3 linked regions of the Pelodiscus sinensis genome follow. The protein of the gene in region 1 interacts with the protein of each later gene in a pairwise test. Links are inferred from orthologs where the notes say so. Each region holds a gene or a part of one and is shown in the gene's direction. Other genes may lie near its edges.

Evidence for each region.
Region 2: the proteins of ARFIP2 (region 1) and ARF3 interact in a two-hybrid assay, tested with the Homo sapiens proteins (2 studies listed by BioGRID and IntAct). The link is inferred for Pelodiscus sinensis from reciprocal best matches to the Homo sapiens genes ARFIP2 and ARF3.
Region 3: the proteins of ARFIP2 (region 1) and MAL2 interact in binary tests that used the Homo sapiens proteins (3 or more experiments, as listed by UniProt). The two-hybrid records come from large-scale screens. The link is inferred for Pelodiscus sinensis from reciprocal best matches to the Homo sapiens genes ARFIP2 and MAL2.

What each region holds. Positions count from the first base shown.
Region 1 is NW_027465814.1:176,982-184,455, reverse strand, and holds the start of ARFIP2 (arfaptin-2), read left to right. Parts: upstream 1-4,459; 5' UTR 4,460-4,474; coding exon 4,475-4,714; intron 4,715-7,474. UniProt on the Homo sapiens protein: Plays a role in constitutive metalloproteinase (MMP) secretion from the trans Golgi network. May have important functions during vesicle biogenesis at certain cargo subdomains, which could be predominantly utilized by secreted MMPs, such as MMP7 and MMP2.
Region 2 is NC_134729.1:5,045,623-5,053,629, forward strand, and holds the start of ARF3 (ADP-ribosylation factor 3), read left to right. Parts: upstream 1-4,999; 5' UTR 5,000-5,139; intron 5,140-7,941; 5' UTR 7,942-8,007.
Region 3 is NC_134712.1:22,505,294-22,512,510, reverse strand, and holds the start of MAL2 (protein MAL2), read left to right. Parts: upstream 1-4,209; 5' UTR 4,210-4,345; coding exon 4,346-4,477; intron 4,478-7,217. UniProt on the Homo sapiens protein: Member of the machinery of polarized transport. Required for the indirect transcytotic route at the step of the egress of the transcytosing cargo from perinuclear endosomes in order for it to travel to the apical surface via a raft-dependent pathway.

The sequences.
Region 1 (7,474 bases):
TAGTCTTTCTCACTTTGTCCCTACATGCTCTAACCTCAATAAGGCAGCTTTCTTTACTGATCCCTCCCATCTTGCACTCCTTAATGCTTTCTGCTTTTTCTTAATCACCTCCCTGAGATGCTTGCTCACCCAGCTTGGTCTAACACACCTGCCTATACATTTTTTCCCTTTTCTTGGGATACAGGCTTCTGACAGCTTCTGCAACTTTAACTTAAAATAATTCCAGGCCTCTTCCACCCCAAAATCCATAATTTCTTTAGTCCAAACAACTTCCCTAACGAATTTCCTTAATTTACTAAAGTTAGCCCTTTTGAAATAAAAAACCCTCGTCTCAGATTTATTTTTGTTTATCCTTCCATTTAATTTGAACTGAATTAGCTCATGATCACTCGAGCCAAGGTTGTCCCCTACAACCATTTCATCTCTGAGGTCCTCACTACTCACCAAATCTAAAATAGCACCCCCCCCCCCTTGTTGGTTCAGCAACTACTTGATGAAGGAATTCATCAGCTCTTGTCCCTGGGGCTGTGCCAGTTAGCACAGTCACTGCCTGGACAGTCCTGGCCCACTGCTCTGTCCCCGGCAGAACCCTCCAGAGTGAGCACAGAGCGCGTATCCGTAGCGCCGCATGCCGATATCCCACGTACGGAGCGCGGAGCGCGTATCTGTAGCGCCACACACAGATATCCCACGTACGGGAGCGCAGAGCACGTATCCGTAGCGCCACACACAGATATCCCACGTACGGGAGCACGGAGCGCGTATCTGTAGCGCCGCACGCCGATATCCCACGTACGGGAGTGCGGAGGCGCATATCCGTAGCGCCACACACAGATATCCCACGTACGGGAGCACAGAGCACGTATCCGTAGCGCCACACACAGATATCCCACGTACGGGAGCGCGGAGCGCGTATCCGTAGCGCCGCACACAGATATCCCACGTACGGGAGCGCGGAGCGCGTATCCATAGCGCCGCACGCCGATATCCCACATACGGGAGCGTGGAGCGCGTATCCGTAGCGCCGCACGCCGATATCCCACGTACAGGAGCGCGGAGCACGTATCCGTAGCGCCACACACAGATATCCCACGTACGGGAGCGCGGAGCGCGTATCCATAGCGCCGCACGCCGATATCCCACGTACGGGAGCGCGTATCCGTAGCGCCGCACACCCGATATCCCACGTACGGGAGCGCGGAGCGCGTATCCGTATCGCCGCACGCCCATATCCCACGTACGGGAGCGTGGAGCGCGTATCCGTAGTGCCGCACGCCGATATCCCACGTACGGGAGCGCGGAGCACGTATCCGTAGCACCACACACAGATATCCCACGTACGGGAGCGCGGAGCGCGTATCCATAGCGCCGCATGCCGATATCCCACGTACGGGAGCGCGGAGTACGTATCCGTAGCGCCGCATGCCGATATCCCACGTACGGGAGCGCGGAGCGCGTATCCGTAGCGCCGCACGCCGATATCCCACGTACAGGAGCGCGGAGCGCGTATCCGTAGCGCCGCACGCCGATATCCCACGTACGGGAGCGCGGAGCGCGTATCCGTAGCGCCGCATGCCGATATCCCACGTACGGGAGCGCGGAGCACGTATCCGTAGCGCCGCACGCCGATATCCCACGTACAGGAGCGCGGAGCGCGTATCCGTAGCGCCGCACACAGATATCCCACGTACGGGAGCGCGGAGCGCGTATCCGTAGCGCCGCACACAGATATCCCACGTACGGGAGCGCGGAGCGCGTATCCGTAGCGCCGCACGCCGATATCCCACGTACGGGAGCGCGTATCCGTAGCGCCGCACGCCGATATCCCACGTACAGGAGCGCGGAGCGCGTATCCGTAGCGCCGCACGCCGATATCCCACGTACGGGAGCAGCACACACACAATCAGTAGGACATAAGCTTTCATATGACACCTCATGTGGCCCCCTTTGTATAGACTTTTGGGGCAAACACCCCCCTGTGGGCGCAGCCGTGACTTGTCTGAACCCCTTTAAAATCCAGTAACGTGACACACGGCCCTCCACGTCCTTAGCCGCAGCTCAATCTCCAGGCATCACAGCTGTGCCGAGGAGATCCTGCCTGGGACGAACTGCTGCTGGCGGAGCGTGGCCTGGCGGGCCCCACATGCCTGTCAGGCAGTTCCTTGCCCCTTCTCCTGTCTCAGAGCCTGAAACTCCCCAGGGGTGTCTGGCTGCTCCCTGCTGGGACAGGATCCAGCCCCCTGGAAGGATCATTCTCTTCCAGCCGGCAATCAGCTGGGACTTGGTCAGTTCCCCCACGGGCAGGCCCCCCTCCTTGCACAGCCCCAAGGCGCCTGCCTTCAGGAGTCGGGTGTAGGCCATCTCCCTCCATTCCCCGGGTGCAGACACACCGGCCAATGCTGCAGCACCCCACGATCCCAGGAAGAACCCTTCCTGGGCCCCCCTTCCCCGCAGAGTTAGACCGCCCTCTCCTGGGATCACTTCCCACAGTCCACAGGGGAACCTCTTCTGGGGGGGGGGCACCCCCTTCTCCGTGGCCCCACTTGGGTTAAGCTGCTTTCCTCTCCACTTCCTGGAACTGCGTCCCATGGCCTCCAGTGCCTGGCTCTTGCAAGCCCCCTTCCTTCTCCTGTGCCCAGTGACTTCCTGGCAGATGCTCCGTCCACGGGGTACAGTCCATCCCACCACTGTCCTCTAGTGTGGGGGAGTCCCCAGCCCTGCACCCCGATGCGCAGCAGGTAGAACACAGGAGTTACACATTGACACAGACACAGCGTAGCCTGGACTTGTTACAGGAGCCAGGAACGTTCAGTACAGCCCAGCCTGGGGAGACTGGGCCCTGTTCCCCCTTCCTGCTCAATACCCCCCTCTCGTCCTGAAAACCAGCCAAGACTGACCCATACCCCAGACCCTAGTCCCCAGCCTGGTGTCAGCCCTGCCCCCCTTTGTTCCCTTCCCGGGCCCAGGGTGTTATCTACTGTTCCCCTGGCCCTCAGGACCTCCCCAGTGAGTCCTGCCCAGCTTCCCCGTCTTCATCCAGACAGTGCACTGTGCCCAGGGAAACTGAGGCACGCACACACACCTGGAGTCCTTACAGAACAGCAGACTCACATACAGCACCGCAAGGCCAACAGAATATGGCCCAAATACAGTCCCACTATGTCACTGTGTCACTGAGGGTATGTCTAGACTCCGTCCCTGTCGCCAGAGGGGTGTGAATTAGACTGACATTGCTAATGGCGCGGGGATTTCAATAGCCCGCGCTTCATTAGAATAAAAATGGCCGACATGGCAATTTGCCGGTAAAAAGTGGCAGTCTAGACGTGGGTCGGTCGACAAGGAAAGCCTTTTCTGACCGATCCCTTATGCCTCGTGCAACGACGTTTGCTGGATCGGTCGGAAACAGCTTTCCTTGCTGACCAATTCCTGTCTAGACTGCTGCTTTTTGCCGGCAATGTGCGGGAGATTGGAATCCCTGCGTCATTAGCAATGTTGGTCTGTCTAATTCACACCCCTCTGGCGACAGAGGGATGGAGTCTAGACATGCCCTGAGCATGGTGTATACATCCCAATGCCGGCGGGAGGGAGATTGAGGCATTTGGTTGGCTACATGGCATGGAAAGGGACAAAAGGGGAGACTGTGTCATGCTCTGTGGTTAGCATGTGGAACTCCTTGCCACAGGATGTCACTGAGAGAAGAGGGTAAATCCTGATGTGGGGCATGGGGAGAGGAAGATTAGGGCAGCTGGTTGGTCACACAGCACAGGGACCGGGGGATGCTCCGTGGCATGGAAAGGGAAGACTGCCATGGTTCGTGGTTAGCCTGTGGAACTCCCCACCACGTGATGTCACTGAGGCCTTAGCAAGACTTTGAGTGGCCTGGCCACTCTGGGGGGGCGGGACTAGCCAGAGGGATAGGAGGGCCGAGCAGTTTGGGCAGGAATATGAAGCCTGCTCATCTCTGAGTATCGGTGTCCCAGATGAGTCCCTCCTGGGGGCAGGTTCCCCCGCTGCTGCCTTAGCAGCACATGGTGCTAGGCCCGAGTCTGGGCCTTGCGCCGCCACCAGAGCAGCACAGGACACAGCCAAGGCAAGGCCCCATTGCCGGGAGCAGGATGGAGATGGCTGGCTTAGCCCTGCCGGGCCCTGGGAGTCTGCTGCAGGCCGGGGCCTTCCTGCCGCTGCCCTGCTGTGGGGTGGGGTGGGGTGGAGGCACTGAGGGGGCCTTGCAGGGCATAGGCAAAGTGCCACTGTTCCAGCCGGTGGGGGGCACTGTGGCCTGGCGGCCGTCACCCCTCAGAGGCACTTCCCCTGCCACCCCTCTTCTGCTGGGCCGGCGGGCACGGCCAGAGTGCCAGCAACAGCCACTCTGCAAGCCAGGGCGCTGGTGGGGACCGGGAGGCGGCTGTGCCCAAGCGTGCTGCTCCCTGGATCCCCTGCCTCCGGGAGCGGGGGATATTGGCACAGCAGCACCATGCGGCTGGCGACAGTCCCCCAAGGGCTGGTGGGGTGGCACTGTAGGGCGCCCAGACCTGCAGCGAAGAGGCCTGGGAGGAGACGCTGCCCGACCTGCCAGCCCCGTGCTCTGTGTGTTCCAGGCTCCGGGCTGCACCAGCCCCAGCCCAGCCCCACGGCAGCGGGGGACGAGGCCGCTCGGGGTCTTGCTGTGGAGAAGTTTGATATTGTCAAGAAATGGGGCATCAACACATACAAGGTGAGTTTCCACCTCGGTCAGGCGGGGGGAGACGGGGGCACGGGGGGCTCTCTCAAAGGAGTGGGGGCGGAGGGGGGCTCTCTCAAAGGAGCGGGGGGCAGAGGGGGCTCTCTCAAAGGAGCGGGGGGCAGAGGGGGCTCTCCCGAAGGAGCGGGGGGCCGGAGGGGGCTCTCCCGAAGGAGCGGGGGGCCGGAGGGGGCTCTCCCGAAGGAGCGGGGGGGCCGGAGGGGGCTCTCCCGAAGGAGCGGGGGGCCGGGGGGCAGAGGGACTGTCACATGGGGGGGCTGTCCCGGTCACGTTAGCGGAGTATAAGGGAAGCAGCCAGGTCACTGCTGCGCCCATGGGGGGGGGTGGGGGGTTTGCCCCAAAAGTTGGTCCGAAGGGGCCCTGTGAGGTGTCGAACAAAAGCTACTTTCTACTGAGTCTGTGGGGCAAACCTTTGCCGGGGGGCGTGGGGGGCAGCAGGCCCCGTGCTGCCGGGCTGGGAGGGCCCCACTGGGCATGCTCCCAGCAGAGCCGTATATAAAGGCGGGGAGCCCGGCAAGGGGCCCAGGCTGCCGCCCCGGTGTCCCTGCAGCAGCTGAAGCCAGAGCCAGAGCGGCAGGAAGCAGCCCGGGGCCAGGGCTTGCCGGATTCCCCACCCAGCAGGCAGGAGCGTGAACCCTGCCTGCTGGGACCCGGTGGAGGGGGGCCCCGGGTGCCCCGCCCCCCCTTTCCGCGGCAAACACGCCGGCCAGGGGGGGCTTTTTCCGGAGCTAGGCCCCAGAGACCATATATACCCTGCTAGGGGGGCCTGGACTTGGGGCTAGTTCTGGGAATACCATATTTGCCCTGAGAGAGGGGCCGAGACTTTTGGGACTTTGGGTACTGTATATGCCCTGAGAGAAGGGCCTGGACCGACACACGGGCCAGTAGAGGGGGGCTGCAGCCCCCGGGGGGCCTACCCCTTGACAGATGGGACTTGGTCCTGCTGTGCAGGCAGGGGACTGGACTCAGTGACCTTCAAGGCCCCTTCCAGTTCTAGGAGACAGGCATCTCCAGTCATTTAAAAAAAACCATTGTGTCTGCTCGTCATAGATCGGTTCCTGTCCGTGTGGAGTTAGGAATATGGACTCTGTGTGGAGACGGGACGTTTCTCTGCATGTGCTTGAGCAATGGGCTCAACCTATGGACATGCTAATTAGCAAGGCTCCAGGGACAACGGGCCTCCTAAGTACCAGAGACCCACCTGGGAAGGAATCCAGGTGCCTGGCCAGAGACCATGTGACTATCTCCAGCTTGGAAGAGACCAGGAAGGGAGATAAAGATGCCACAGTGGCCAGGTCTGGGCACAGCTGAGGGCGTCCGCTCAGGGCAAATTGCTCAACTTCGAGGCTCCTTACAGCCCCAGACTGGAGACCTTCCCAAACAGGCCACACACCAGTCCCCCAGAGCACTCCAGCTGCCTGCCTGAAGCCTCCCGAGCAAAACCCCTCCCACACCCCAGCAATATCCGTGCCCCAGATGGCCCCGGGCCTCATACACAGGTGAGGGGTCCTAGCACCCAATCCCACCTACCCCGAACAAGTTCTGTCCGGTTCCAAGAAACCAGCCACAGATCCCTGGTCAATTTCCCCTCCGGACCTTACCCACAAATCACGCTGGGCCAATCCTTTAGCATCTAACATCTAAAGGTTTATCAGTGAGGGTACGTCTAGACAACAGGGTTTTGTCGACAGAAGTTTTGTTGACAGATACTGTCGACAAAGCTTCTGTCGACAAAGAGCGTCTAGACACATCCAGTTCTGTCGACAACGCAAGCTGCTTTGTCAACATAACAGTGTGGACGCAAAGGACAGTGTAGATGCAGTAGCGCCTTCTGGCGACAAAAGGCGTTATTCCTTGTAAAATGAGGTTTACCAGCGTCGACAACACTGCTGAGTTCTGTCGACGTTATGTCAACAGAACTCAGCGCTAGTGTAGACGCAGGTTTAGTTTTGTCGACAAAACCCTGTAGTCTAGACACCCCCTAAGAGAAAGGAAGCGTGAGAGTGAGGTTGTTAAAGGATCGTACGTTACATGCAGTGAATCTCCCAGTTCTCGAGGCAGGCTCTAGCAGAGATGTTACAGCTGCTGGCTTAGAAGTCCTTGGTGTATATCCTGTATCCAGATGGGCCCACAGTTCTTCCCGGCTCGTGATTCCCTGTGAGGCCGCATCTGGGGTCAGGAGCAGATCTGAGGACCAAGATGGAGTCGGCCACATGACATCTTTATCTCCCCCCCGCCCGGCTTCTTCCAAGCTGGAGACAGTCACATGGTCTCTGGCCAGGCACCTGGATTCCTTCCCAGGTGGGTCTCTGGTACTTAGGAGGCCCCTTGTCCCTGGAGCCTTGCTAATTAGCATGTCCATAGGCTGAGCCCATTGCTCAAGCACATGCAGAGAAACGTCCCGTCTCCACACAGAGTCCATATTCCTAACTCCACACGGACAGGAACCGATCTATGAAGAGCAGACACAGACTCAGAAGAAAGTAGCTTTTGTTTGACACCTCACAGGGCCCCTTTGTACCCACTTTTGGGGCAAACACCCCCCAGGGGTGCAGCAGTGACCTGGCTGCTTCCCTTAAACTCCAGTAACGTGACAGTCCCAAACGAGTGGTGGGAATGGGGGCAGATGGGGCTGTCGCATGGGGCAGCGGGGTGGGGGGCTGTCCCAAGGGGCAGGGGAGGTGGAGGGAGGCTGTCCCAAGGGGCAGCGGGGGGGGCTGTCTCAAGGGACGG
Region 2 (8,007 bases), on another chromosome or scaffold:
TGAGAACAGGTGGCTCCTGGCTGGCAGCTCAAGGGACACACTCTCCCCCCTCCCCTAGTGGCTTTTGGGTGCCATGACCCAGAGGAGCCAGTCTGAGCCAAAAGCACCAGGGGGCAGAGGCAGTCCCAGCCCAGTGCAGGACAGGACACAGGGCTGCAGGCACCCTTTGGCAACCAGCCTTGCTGCTTTGCATTCCTTGCTGCAGCCTCCCTGCCCACCTACAGGCAGGACAACCAGTGTTGGTGCCTCCCCTCCCCCCAACCAGGGGCAAAGATGAAAGTTCCCAGGAGGTGCCTGCAGCTACAGGCACCAAATTAACCAGAGCCATTGGCCCAGGGAGGGCCGCCATCCTGCCCACTGACCCGCCCCCCTCCCAAGTGCTCTGGGTTCCCTGCACAGCCTCCCGTCGGCAGCACTGCAGGGCAGCGAATGCAATTGCGACCTAACTGACTGCCATTGGCGCCGTGTGCAGGTGACCAGTGGAACTCACAGCCACTGGGCGTTAGAGGGGAGCACAGCAAGGTGGGGTCAGGCTGTTGTGCATGGAGAGGGCGAGCAGTCAGCAGGGATAGATGCCCTCCTTCACGGGGAACGAAGCAAACCCCCCCTCCCCGGTAGAGCAGGGGCCTCCCCTCTGGGCCACTGGTTCCAGAGCTGACCGCTGTGGAGTTCCCCAGAGCAGCAGGCCCTGGGAAGCAGATTAGATGGGCGCTCCTGGGATCCAGGACCCCGAGTGAGGGGGCCCCCAGCGCATAGGCTGGCCCGAGGGCAGAGACCCTGATAGAAAGCGTGCTGGGATTCTGGGGCAGGTGAGCAGGGCACAAGGGGGCAGGGCATATCCATGGTGGGTCACGGAGTGTGGAAGCCATGGGGGGCTGGGAAGAGCCCCACCTTGATGCCCTGACATGAGGCTGAACCCCCATGTGCAATGAGGTTTGGGGGGCTCAGCCCCTGCTGCTGGGACATGCCTTCCCGTGCCCCCCTCACCAGCCTCACTGGAGCCGGGCTGAGGGGCGTCAATAGGAGGCTGAGCCTGCCCTAGGGATGCCTCACTCGCCAGCATCCTTCTCTGCTAGCAGTGGAGTGAGGACACTCCCTGGGAGTCGCACACTGACTCACGCTACAAACACACAGGCCCTGCCCTGACCTCAGCCTGCCCTGCAGCCCAGCCCAGCCTCCAGCCACACAGCAGGGCAGTGGAGCCACTGGGCGGGGGAGGGAGGGGTGTACAGCGTGCGTGCACATGTACTCCATGAGCAGGGCTCTGTGAGTGTACATACAGCTCGCAAGGCTGTATGTAGGCACATATACAGGGAGCATGGCTTTGTGTGTGTGTGTGTGTACAGTGTGCCAGGCTGTGTGCACACAGGAACAGTGAACAATGCTGTCTGTGTACAATGTGTGCATATGTATGCATATGTACAGTGAGCATGGGTCTCTATGTGTGTATACAGTGCGCACAGCTGTATGTGTGTGTGTGTGTACAGGGTGCCGAGCTGTTTGCACACATGTCCGGTGAGCACGGCTGTGTGTGTCCAGTGTGTCCAGTGAGCACGGTGCTGTGTGCACACATACAGTAAGTGGGATTCTGTGTGCAGTCACTCATGTATCAGGGAAGAAGGGCACCCAGGAACCCCGATTCCCAGGCTGCTGCACACCCCTTGCTCTGCAACAGCCCCAGCGCCCTGGGTCTCCCCCATCTCCCGTGTGAGCAGTCCTGGCCAGTGGAAAGACAAGCCTCCACATGGTTCAAACTCGGCGGCTGCCCATGGGCAGAGGTAGCCAAGCCCAGCTCCCAGGGCTAAGTTCATGTTAGGATGTGGAGACAGTGGATAGAGCTCAGAAGCAGGCAATGAAGATGATGAGGGGGCTGGAGCACGTGACCGACAAGGACAGGCTGAGGGATTTGGGCTTATTTAGACTAGGGATGTAATAGTATAGTCGATTAACTGATGAGCAAAAGCTGATAGGTTAATGCTATAGGCTACACGCATTCCCCGCCCCCCCACTTGCCAGTAAATATTTTAGCACGCTGGCTGGCAATCTGGCTCAGTCCTGGTTTGAAACGGGTCCAAGACCTACCCCTGCTGCAGATCTCCATTTAAAGTGTATTAGAAGCCAGGCGGGCAGGCAGTCCAGCTCAGTTCTGGCTTGCACTGGATTCGGGAGCTCAGACTCACCCTAGACAGAGGCTGCTGCCACCCTGCGTTGCTGCCTCTTTATCAGAGGCAGCAGTGCAAGGCAACAGGCAGCTGGTCGGCGAGGGGAGCTGGTTTTTAAAACGGCTCCCTGTGCGGACCAGCTCCTGCCTGGCACCCTGCACTGCTGCCTCTGTATCAGAGGGGCAGAGGGCTCCTAAGGAGTGAGGCCAGAGCGTACCAGCTGCTGGCCCTGCCTCCGGGGACTATAAAACAGTCGACTGATAAGAATTCATGAGGTTGCTCGATTATTCAATTAGCCGATATTTAACATCCCTAATTGATACTACAGAAGAGAAGAGTGAGGGGGGATTTGAGAGCAGCCTTCAACTTCCTGAAGGGGGTCCAAAGAGGATGGAGAGAGGCTGTTCTCAGTGGTGACAGGTGACAGTATGAGGAGCAATGGTCTCAAGTGGCAGAGGGGGAGGTCTAGTTTGGATTTTAGGAAAAGCTATTTCCCTAGGAGGGTGGGGAAGCACTGGGAGGGGTTCCCTAGGGAAGTGGCGGAATCTCCATTCCTAGAGGTGTTTAAGTCTCGGCTTGACACAGCCCTGGCTGGGAACACTGAGTTGGGTTGGTCCTGCCTTGGGCGGGGACCTGGACTTGATGACCTCTGATGGGTCTATATCACAGCCAGGCGAAAGGCGCCACCTGCTGGGGGAGAGCGGCACAGCGCACTCCCCAACACCCATGGGGTGCAGGGGCACGCTCGGAGCCACTGCACGAGGGAGATGTGCCCCACTCCCACTGCAATCCAGTCGATCAGTCCATGGCAGAGCTGAGACTAGGACCAAGGAGTCCTGGCCCCCAGCCACCCCTGCTCTAACCCACTAGCCCCACTCTCCTCCCCATGCTGGGGAGAGAACCCAGGGGTTCTAGCCCCAGTAATGCTCTTTAGCCATTCAACAGCCCTGCCATGGCGAGGGGTGAGTTCACTGCCTTCTGGCCAGCCCAGGAGCAGAAGGGTCACAGAGCCAGAGAAGGGGACAGCTCTGAGAACAGGGGGATGGGCTCCCTCCCATGACCCTACTCACCTGGCAGGTCCAAGTGGCTGGGCTGAGTGTAAGGCTGGGACTAATAATCAATACCCAGCTCTCATCTAGCTCTTCCACAGGTGGGGAAACTGAGGCACAGAGAAGGAACTGGTGCTTACTCCAGGCCTCCCAGCAGAAAGGGGAATAGAATCCAGCATCTCAGTCCAACTCCCTAGCCACTAGGCCACACTGTCCCTAGCAATGCAGCAGCACCTCCTGGCTGCTCCAGAGGGACCCCCAGCAGGCAGCACCCAAGGAGAGCCAGAGGAGTGCAGCTCCTACATGTCCCTCTGGCTGCGGTGTGTTGGACCCTGCAGGAGGCTCTGCAGTGCCTCATGGAGCCTGTTAAAATAAGCTGGGGCAAGCTACCTCCCCGGGGTGGGGTCCTGCCTTCTGCAAGTAGCGATGGGGCCAGGCCTCATCCCTTACTCACACAGCAGGGCAACCAGCTCCTATTGCATTGCACCTCTCTCCATGCACTTCACTCCCGCTAATGCAGCATGACCCCCATGCACACAGCCTGCTCATGCACCACAGCCCCCATGCACAGCCCCCGCTCATGTAGCATGATCTCCACGCACACAGCCTGCTCATGCACCACAGCCCCCATGCACAGTCCCCGCTCATGTAGCATGATCTCCATGCACACAGCCTGCTCATGCACCACAGCCCCCATGCACTGCCCTCCCCGCTCATGTAGCATGATCTCCACGCACACAGCCTGCTCATGCACCACAGCCCCCATGCACAGCCCCCGCTCATGTAGCATGATCTCCATGCACACAGCCTGCTCATGCACCACAGCCCCCATGCACAGCCCTCCCCGCTCATGTAGCATGATCTCCATGCACACAGCCTGCTCATGCACCACAGCCCCCATGCACAGCCCTCCCCGCTCATGTAGCATGATCTCCACGCACACAGCCTGCTCATGCACCACAGCCCCCATGCACAGCCCTCCCCGCTCATGTAGCATGATCTCCACGCACACAGCCTGCTCATGCACCACAGCCCCCATGCACTGCCCTCCCCGCTCATGTAGCATGATCTCCACGCACACAGCCTGCTCATGCACCACAGCCCCCATGCACTGCCCTCCCCGCTCATGTAGCATGATCTCCATGCACACAGCCTGCTCATGCACCACAGCCCCCATGCACAGCCCCCGCTCATGTAGCATGATCTCCATGCACACAGCCTGCTCATGCACCACAGCCCCCATGCACAGCCCTCCCCGCTCATGTAGCATGATCTCCACGCACACAGCCTGCTCATGCACCACAGCCCCCATGCACAGCCCTCCCCGCTCATGTAGCATGATCTCCATGCACACAGCCTGCTCATGCACCACAGCCCCCATGCACAGCCCTCCCCGCTCATGTAGCATGATCTCCACGCACACAGCCTGCTCATGCACCACAGCCCCCCATTAATACAACGTGCTCCCCCTTGCAGACCTCGCATTTCAGCCTCACCATCGCCATAGGAGCCCTCCATGCATTTCAGCCTCCCTACTCACGCTCCAGCCCCCGCGTGTTCCACCCCCACGCTGATGTGACCCCCCCCCCACGCATCATCCACCGGCGTCGAGCCTCCCGCCCCCCCAGGCACGCAGCGCCCCCCCCAATACTTCACACCCTTAGGTCCCCTAATACACCCCCATGCAGTCCTCCCTTGCACGTCCCCTCCCCTACAGGTGCAACCCCCCCATGCATTGCAACTGTTGCCATAGCGACCGGCTCTGATGTCGCGAGGTTTGCTGCCCCCCCCCCGGCTCCCCAGGGCCAGGCGAAGCTCTCGCGAGATCGCTGGTGCGTGCCCTGGGCTTGCTGCTTCCGGCCGGCGGGGGCTGGGTGCAGAGTCAGCTGGGGAGGAGGGGGCGGGAGGAAGAGCCCGAGCCGGAGCAGGTAGGCGCGGGGCGCGTCGGGGGGGGGCAGGCGCTGCAATGGGCCCGTACGGGGGGGGGGGGGGCAGGGCAGGCGCTGCAATGGGCCCGTACGGGGGGGGGAGCAGGGCAGGCGCTGCAATGGGCCCGTACGGGGGGGGAGGAGCAGGGCAGGCGCTGCAATGGGCCCGTACGGGGGGGGGAGCAGGGCAGGCGCTGCAATGGGCCCGTACGGGGGGGGGGGAGCAGGGCAGGCGCTGCAATGGGCCCGTACGGGGGGGGGAGCAGGGCAGGCGCTGCAATGGGCCCGTACGGGGGGGGAGGAGCAGGGCAGGCGCTGCAATGGGCCCGTACGGGGGGGGGGGGAGCAGGGCAGGCGCTGCAATGGGCCCGTACGGGGGGGGGGAGCAGGGCAGGCGCTGCAATGGGCCCGTACGGGGGGGGGAGCAGGGCAGGCGCTGCAATGGGCCCGTACGGGGGGGGAGGAGCAGGGCAGGCGCTGCAATGGGCCCGTACGGGGGGGGGAGCAGGGCAGGCGCGGCAATGGGCCCGTACGGGGGGGGGGGAGCAGGGCAGGCGCTGCAATGGGCCCGTACTGGGGGGGGAGCAGGGCAGGCGCTGCAATGGGCCCGTACGGGGGGGGGGAGCAGGGCAGGCGCTGCAATGGGCCCGTATGGGGGGGGAGCAGGGCAGGCGCGGCAATGGGCCCGTACGGGGGGGGAGCAGGGCAGGCGCGGCAATGGGCCCGTACTGGGGGGGGAGCAGGGCAGGCGCTGCAATGGGCCCGTCCTGGGGGGGGAGCAGGGCAGGCGCTGCAATGGCCCTGCCCGAACCAGGGAGCACCCTGAGTGGGATGGGGAGGCAGGGCTGAGCGTGCGGGGGGGGCAGGTCGTCTGGGGTGCACACACGTCAGTCGGGTCTATTACTCGGCGGGGAAGATGGGAGTCTGAAGCAGGGTGGGGGGGCAGCAGGCCTGCCCATGTCGTTGCCAGTAGGGAGCCCTGAGAATGGGGATGTCTCGGATCCAGCAGAGGGGCAGGACCCCAGGGTGCCATCCAGAGTGGGGTGGCTGGGGCTGTGCCCTTCAGCCAGAGCAAGGAGCCCAGCACGCAATGGGGGCAGCAGGACTCACCCCTGCTGCTGGGGGGAGCTATTTTTGGGGGACTAGATGCTGCCCCGTTCTCTTGAGTGTGCCCCCCTCAGCTCAGGGGCTGCCTTTCTCCCTGGGGGGCCCATCTTCCCCAGGCAGGGGGGCCAATGAGGAGGCTGAGGGACCTGTGCTCTTGCCCCCATGCTGACCAGAAAATACCCCCCCTATGGGTTTTCCTGCCCCCCCCCCCCATTATTCCATGTAAAGAGTTGGGGGTGGAAGGCAAGGACCAGTGTCCTTACCATTAGCCATTTTCCAGCCTGGGCCTTGCCTTAATGTGGGGTGGCTTGGAGCTCCTGGGGCCAGGGCATTCGGGCCCAGGGAAAGTCTGAGGGGGCCCTGGCAGGGCAGCATGTCAGCTGGAGATGCAGGCAGGCTGCCGTGGGGAAGGATCAGATGGCTGGCAGGGGGGCACTGGGATCTGAGGGAGCCAGAGGAGGGTGTGGTGGGCAGGGAGTGCTGCTACGCCGAGGCAGGGAGCGGCCTAAAACACCGACCCAAGGAAAAAGGGTTGGAAGAATGAGAGGCCATGGTGCTCCCGTCCCTTGTGCAGGGACCACAGAAAGGCCTACTGGCTAGTATGGGGGGAGCTGAGAGCCAGGACTCCTGGGTTCTGTTCCCAGCTCTGGGAGGGAAGTGGAGTCAGGAGTTTGGGAATTCTTCTGTTGACTCCTTGGCCTTGGGCAAGTCCCTGGCTCTTTGCCTCAGTTTCCCCTTCTGTGCAGCATGTTATGGCTGGTCTGGACTCTTCTCCTGGGGGCTGAGGTCTGTGTGCTGCGGGGAGGCCTGTTTTGATTGGCCAGCATGCAGTGATGGAAGGGGGGGGCCTTTCCCTACTGTAACCCCCCCCCATCCTGCATGTGCTGTTCCTTGCTGGCAGCACTGCTGTGACCCTGCGCCCATTGCCTTTGAGGCCAACACTCAATAGAGGCAGAGTGAAGGCTGCCGATCCAGCTGGCCGTGGTGGGCGCTGAGCACAGCCTGGCACAGCCGACCCCCAGCTCTGCCTTTCAGTATTGTGATGCAGGGAGAAAGGGCCCTTGTGGGACTGTGGCCCTGCCCTGGGCTCTGGACTGATCTGTCTCACAGGTTGCCTGCAGGTCTTCCTACCCCCCAGGCTGCGGGGCTGGGCTGGGGTAGCCTGGAGCCAGTGGGTCAGCAGCCCCCCACCTCCCCTCCCCTCCCCAGCCATCACCAGCTGCCCGACTAGGAAGGCCGGATAAGGGGCGCCCGAGAGGTGGGGCGGGTTCTTGAGTGGCCTAGGGGTTAGGGCATTGGCCTGGGGATGCCCAGGTTTGTGGGTTTGAGCCCCGCCCACCTAGGGTGCATCCTGAGGGCCAGCACCAGCTGCCCCATTAGGAAGGCTGGACAAGGGGCACCCTGGAGGAAGGGAGGTGGGGTTGGTTCTTGAGTGGCCTGGGGTTAAAGCATTGGCCCGGGGACCCCAGGTTTGTGGGTTCAAGACCTGCCCACCTGGGGTGCATCCTGAGGGCCAGCACCAGCTGTTGAACACATGGAGGTCTGTGCTGGCATAGAGCTGGGACTCAGGGCCAGACCCACCTTGCCATGGAGCTGAGCTTCTGGGGTGTGCGCCCCCAGCAGCCGGCTGCACGGGGAGGTGTTGTCCCCCGCGGGCACCAGATGCCAGCCAGCCTTGCCCTTCCTGCTGCCCAGGAACCGGCCTCGACGCCAGGCGTGCGCTGCAAGTGATCCGGCCCCAGAGCCCCTGCACTGCTCCCC
Region 3 (7,217 bases), on another chromosome or scaffold:
CAGGCTTTGCTATGCCTCTGGGTTCACTGCTGGTCAAAAGAAAGCATTCTTTTAGAATTAGAGATAATTGATTTTTAATTATTGTTTCATGCTTAAAAACTGTTTTCACTTTTGTTTCAGTTGATGGTTCATTTCTGTTTCTTACATAATTGTTTATAATAAAACCCTTTAAAATTTAATTAATAAGGAGTTGATACCAGTTCTTTAGCAACGGTCATACTAGTAATTTTCATAGGGTATGTCTACACTGCAATGCTATTTTGGGATTCCGGAGTATCCTGAAATAGCTATCCTGCATCTTCACAGCAAGCCGTTATTTCGGGCTCACTATTCCGACATCCCTGTAAGCCTCAAGTTAGTGATGTTTCAGAATAGTGTTTTATTTTGAAATTTGGCTCTGTGTAGATGATGCCAAATGACAAAATAAGCTATTCCAAAATAGCATCGAAATATCTTATTTCGAGTTACGGTGCAGTGTAGACACACCCTATATAGTGTTCCTGGGGCAAACTGTCCAGTAACTTAAACAGAGATTAGTTCCAAAATATGCTAGACTCCTAGATCCTTCCAGACCACACAACATTTATTTCCATAAACCTGCCGTGATGGCAGAGGTGAAAGTAAGCCAGTGCAGCACACCAGTAAGAGACTGTTGGCCACAGCACACACAGGCATGAGCTCCAGGGCTTGGGCTGCATGGTCCCCAGCTAGCCACAGTGCTCGGGCAACAGGGCCCCCAGTGCCCCAGGGATCCAGCAGTCACGCAATACAGTGGCTGCACTCCCAGCCCTGAACTCCCAAACACATCCCCAACCTCATCCTGAGGCTCTCTCACACACACACACCATCCCCTACCCTGACTCCTGCACACCTACACCTGCCATAAGCCCCTTATCCCTACCTTGACTCCTGCACTCACCAGCCCTTGTCCTTGCCCTCATTGTTGGCTGCAGCTACAGCACTTTAATGCTAGCTGTGTATGGACTGGTACTGGCAGCCACTTCTCGCTGGTATGCTGTATTAGCTGTCACCTCTGCCCAAATTCAATGGGAGTTCTGAGTTGCATTATGACAGAGTGGGATATTTGGTATCAGAGTGTAGACTCCATTTTGTGTTGCTTAATGAACACATCTAAACTGGCCCATGGCATCTTCTCATATTGCACTTTAGACAGTGCCTGTTTAGGAAAGATGCTTGACGCCTCATTGAAAGATGATCCTGATGCTTGGTCTACACTACACAGTCTGGTCCATGTGGAAATGTCATCACTTAAATTTGCCTCTTGTCAACATAAGTGACTCTCTATGCCAGTTTAGTAACACCATCTTCCCTACATCTTCACTACAATTGATACAAGTCCTTCTAGTGAGGACATGCACAACCAACACAATGGACCAGATGGGCACACACAAATGCAATTTCATATCTGTGGTAGCAATATATCAACAAAATTTTGTAGTGTGGAGATATGGCCTGAGAAAGCATCAAGAGAGCAATTGATGACCACTAGCTCTATTCTCTCTCCATTCCCTGTCCTATGGAACAATGAACTTCCCACATTGGAATGCACAGGCAGGCCTGCTGACAGCAATTCCAGGCCCCAGGGCAGAACAGTCAATGGGCCCCACACTTACACAAACTATGCCTGCACAAACATGGACTGCCTGACACCTGGGCACTGCTGTGCCTGCACAAGCTGGTGCCGCACCTGCATTGACTGGTGACCAACGAGCTGCTAGCTACACTGCTGGGTGCACTCTTTCAGCATGATCAGCTCTTCCACCTGCCCACATGGTAGGGTTGCACACTGTGCAATTGTGCAACTTCAAAGACCCTTGCCCCACCCTTGCCCTTCTCCTGATGCCACATTCCTGTCTTACTCATTGTCTGAATCCCTTCCCCCGGCTCACTCTATCCCCCCTTCCCTCCATCACTTTCTTTTCCCCACCCTCATTCACTTTCATCAGGCTGGGGCAGAGGGAGGGAGTATGGGCTCTGGGAGGGAGTTTGAGTGCAGAGTATAGTCTGTAGGCTGGGACAGGGGGTTGGGTGCAGCTCCTATTGACCAAGCTGTCCAGCCAATAGGAGCTGCAGAGATGGGGTGGAAGCAACACATAGCAACTCCATCCCCAGGGGCCATGGGAATGTGCCAGCTGCTTCTGGAGTGGCATTGAGTCAGGGTAGGAAGGAAATCTGCCTGAATGTGGACAACAAGAAAAAAAATTGTTTATATGTGAAAAGTGAAATTGTTTCAATAAAATGAAATGGGAAAATAAAGTTTATTATAAATGGTGTGATAACTGCAGATGTTTCCAGATGTATTTCAGGCTACAAGTCTGATCTCTCATTAGCAACATTTTCATCTATTGGAACTCAAGTGACATTTTTTTGTCCTGCTATACTTTTCTAAACTTGGATGTTACTAAAGTATGTATACAATTTTATTGTACTTTGTATGGGAAACACACTGCATGTTATAAAGTAAAGAAATCTAAAGAAAGTCTCTGCCTTTAATGTTGACACCTCATTGTTTCTTCATAAATCTTGTGATACTTGATGTTTTTCTTAAAAACTTCAACTCGAAGAGTCATGGGATTGCACTACAGTCTCAGTTTTGGTTTGATGACTTTTTAAAAAGTAGACTTCTAAGCATTTGCAGTTGCAGAGATAAGGCTTGAATCCCTGAATCCTAAAGTCTCTGTAACTAGAAGGTAAATAAAAAGAATCCCAAATTATTTTTAAATCTCATGATTTTGGCAGCCTGACCCATGAGCTTTGAATGCTGGGATTTGGCAATACCATTAGTCATTCAAAGCATTCTGACATTTATTAAAGAAAGAACATCCTTCAAACTGGAAGCTAGAGTCGCTATTTTTTGACACCACCATAAGCCATAGGTTTATAAAACTAGGTTTTTATTTCAACCCTAAAATATTCATTACAACATTAACACTATTAACACCTCCATGGGAATATAATCATGCATCTGAGCTGGAATGTATTGAGTGCTAGTTTATCATTAACTAGCAGCAGGTTAAAAAAGAAAAATAAGAACAATTAGGTTTATGAATCCTGATGTCAGTCTTGCTGCACATATTAAAGCCACACCCCCTGTACTAAATAGCCTTGCCAAGAGAAAAAAAACTACCAGAGCATGAAAAGCTAGAAAGAAGCTACAAAGCAGATGAAAGCCAGCATCTGGATCTGAAGAATCAAGGTCTTGCTTTTTAAAAATCTGACATTTGTGAGGCATCACATTTTGGTTGAACAACCATATCCACACCAGGAACAAAACTATTTGGTTCCTTTGAAAATGAGGGATCAAAAGCCCCCAGGGAGAAAGGACTAGTCAGGATCCTACACAGATATACAGTATAAACTGGGAGAAGTGCAAATCAGAGAGGCCTAATCAGCCTCCTTATCTGCTTCTTCTGCAGAAAGATAACAAACCTGCATCATACCAATGGGACACACATTCTCTGTATGTGCTCTGTATCTGAACACCCACTGAGAGATTGAAAAGTAAAGGTGGATTTGGAGTGCTCCAGAGGTGGGAAGTGGGTAGGAGTATGGTTTGCAGATAGGGTCTAGGTGCAGACTAGTGTTCCCTGTAAGCTGTGCACCTGCACAAATGCTCAGGGGAGATGCCAATGCTGCTCAGCTGACTTTACAGCTAGGTTTGTGTTTCTCCTGGTGGCACACAACAAACATTTATTCCACACACGGATGGAAACGATTAGAGGAAACCCTCTGGCATGATTCCCTACACAGACTGTCTCCTTCAATTCCCCAATCCAGGGTGTTCCCAAATCCCAACCCCGGGCGAGTTCCCCACAGTACCACAGCCCCAAGAGACTCCCAATTCAGGGCCAGTCTCATGAATACCAGGGACTGTGGGGGACTAGCCCTGGGCTGGGATTCGGGAACACGCCAAGGGGGTGGTGGGCAAATGTTTGGCTCTGAGCTAGAACCAAAGCTGGGACTACAGCTGGAGCCAAAAGCCAGGCGGCTCTCAGCGAAGGCAACAGGAAACTCATCCTCTCCCTCTAGCGCTGTGGCCTAAGGGTCGCTACATGGGGCAGTGACCCGAACTCAGCAGGTGTGTGGGTCACACTGGGTCCACCCAGTGGCCACGAGAAGGGGGTTTGCTCGGCTGCAGCCCACGGAACCGGGGCCGTCGCCGCCCGGCGCTTGCGGGGCGGGGCGGCGCAGGGGCCGGGCCGGCGGCTGGGTGTTGCCCACACGCTTCCTGCACCTGCTCTGGGCGCCGCTGAGCCGCCCCTTCCCCCGCCCCCAACCTGCGGCCACGTCAGGGCCAGCCGGGCTCGGCTCACTCCGCGCCAGCATGTCGGCCAGGGGGGGCTCCATGCCGCCGCCCCCCAACCCCACCGCCTACTTCCCCGCGCCCCGGGTCACGCTGCCCGCGGGCTTGGACATCCTGCGCACCTACTCGGGCGCCTTCATCTGCCTGGAGATCGTGAGTGGCAGGGCTGGGGGCTGCTCGGGGTGGGCTGGCTGGGATCCCCCGCTCGCTCCCCTTCCTTCTCCCGCCTTGCGTCCCCGCGCCCAGCACTTGTTGCGCCGAGCCCAGGGCGCCGCGCCGGGCTAGGAGCGTGCAGTGCCCCGCGCCGCACGGCCGGTGTGGTGCATGCAGACCCGGGGCTGCAGGCTGAGGTGCGGGGCGTGCCGGAGCAGGCGGCACCGCAGCCCTGCCACCGTCCCCGCTGCTAACCTGCCATTTTGTAGGTGGGAGAGGTGCAGCAGCCGCCCCTGGAGCGGCTTGTGGCGGCGGCATCAGGAGGTTCTGCTCCGGGAGCCCGGAGAGCCAGAGCGGGCCTCTGTTCCCCAAAGGAGGACCCGGCCCGGAGACCTGGAGCATTGAACTTTATGCGCCGGGGATACGGGTATAGCAACAGGCTGGGGGGGATGTAGGTGGGGATGGGGGGAGGAGGCTCAGTGGGAGCCCTTCCCCATGCCTCCATCTTGCCTAATCCTTGTTTTCCTGCCTCAAAGCTTCCCCAGAAGGGGGATCATGACCAACATACAACTGTGCTGAAATAACACTGTTCTGATTGCCACTCAGTGGTTGTCATAGCTGCCTCTTGGCAGCCGTTTTATTTTCGGAGGGGTGGGGGAAAGAACACTTGGCCTGTATTATGGAGTGAGTTTGTTTTATATCGAGAAGATCTTGATCCTCACAAATTTAGATCAGATTCAGAAGTCCGAGGTAGTAAAACTGTACGGAGTGTGTGTGTGGTTTTTTGTCTTGAGGGCCCCTCAAACTCTAGCATGGATATTTAACCTCGCTGGCATTGAAAGAGTTTGCAGAATCACTATCGTGATTAGAGATTACAGGTCAGAGGTGATGAAATGCTGGCCCCATTGAAGTGAATAGCAAAATTCCCATTGATTTCAATCTGTCCGGGATTTCACCCACAATGCATTTTTTCTTAGTCACAGATTTGAATACTGTCTTAGACTCCAATCTTCAAATGGATCCCTATAGGTGTGCCTGCCCCTCCCCATGGGGCCTTGATTTTTGTTCAATATGGCCTTCACCCTGGTCCAAGAATCTGCTGGGGTGGATCCAGTTGCAGGACTGGAATCCACATCAATAGTCACCAAAAAGTTAACTTATTGATGGATTTGCCAGCCTGTGTAACCTGGGCTGACTTTCCTAGTCTAGTCCAGGCTTTCTCTGATATGGTGCCTGAGTACAATCATAGTTACTGATTACTTCAGTTAGTAATCTTGCTACCAGTCTCAGCAGTGGGATGTTGGAAAAAAAAGTTGTGCTGTTACAATCCATTAAATGTCTTTTCTCTGGATATTTTGAGCCTAAATATGGAGAGAACCTGTTTCCTCACAACAAATACAACCTGAAGAGAAGCCCTTGAAATTAATTTGAAGACTGATAATACTAATCCACATGGGAATACTGAGTGCAGGGAGACGACAGTGCACTTTTACATAATCAGCTTCATTTTATCCACACATTGCTATACTGTATACCAAAGAAGACCTACATACTCTTAACTGCAGGCAACATCTCCTGAAAATAGAGTCTGAGGTTCTAGATTTAGAAGAAACTGGGCAAGCATTATTTTGAAGTTGTAGTTCTCGCAGTCTGAAATGTTTTTCTTCTACTTCATACCTTGAGAGCTGGAAGGAGGAACTGGAAATGGCAATTCAATATAAATGTGAACACTGCTCAGTTCTATTTCAATCAAGTTAAGGCTTTCTTTATTAAAGGAACAAGCTTCAAGAAAGCAAGCATCACTTTTATAGAGATCTGTGTTTGTGATTGAAATAATTGAGAAGATCGGTGTGCTGCAACTTAAATTTTTAGGACTAAATTCTGCTCCTAATTACATAGATCTTAATATGAAATTAATTTGGCTTATATACTTCATTATCTGATGTTCATGACTCAACAGCTTACCATAGCTTTGCTGGTCTTCTATATTTTACTTTTGTTTGTTGCCTTTTACTCTTTTGGCCATAAACATTAAATTCTGTTTATACATTTACAATTATTTCATATCTGTGTCTGCTGGAAGATTACAAAGCTATATATGAGTACAAGATTTAGATTTCAATCTCATTTACATCTTTGACATACCAGTTGCAACAGATACATATGTATTTATATTTTAGGATAAATGAATTTTTATAATCTTTTCATTAATCATAGAATCATAGAATAATAGGACTGGAAGGGACCTCAAGAGGTCATCGAGTCCAGCCCCCCGCCCTCAAGGCAGGACCAAGCTCCGTCTACACCATCCCTGACAGATGTCTATCTAACCTGTTCTTAAATATCTCCAGAGAGGGAGATTCCACCACCTCCCTTGGCAATTTATTCCAATATTTGACCGCCCTGACAGTTAGGAATTTTTTCCTAATATCCAATCTAAACCTCCCCTGCTGCACTTTAAGCCCATTACTCCTTGTCCTGTCCTCAGAAACCAAGAGGAACAAATTTTCTCCTTCCTCCTTGTGACACCCCTTTAGATATTTGAAAACCGCTATCATGTCCCCCCTTAATCTTCTTTTTTCCAAACTAAACAAGCCCAGTTCATGAAGCCTGGCTTCATAGGTCATGTTCTCTAAACCTTTAATCATTCTTGTCGCTCTTCTCTGTACCCTTTCCAATTTCTCCACATCTTTCTTGAAATGTGGCGCCCAGAACTGGACACAGTACTCCAGCTGAGGCC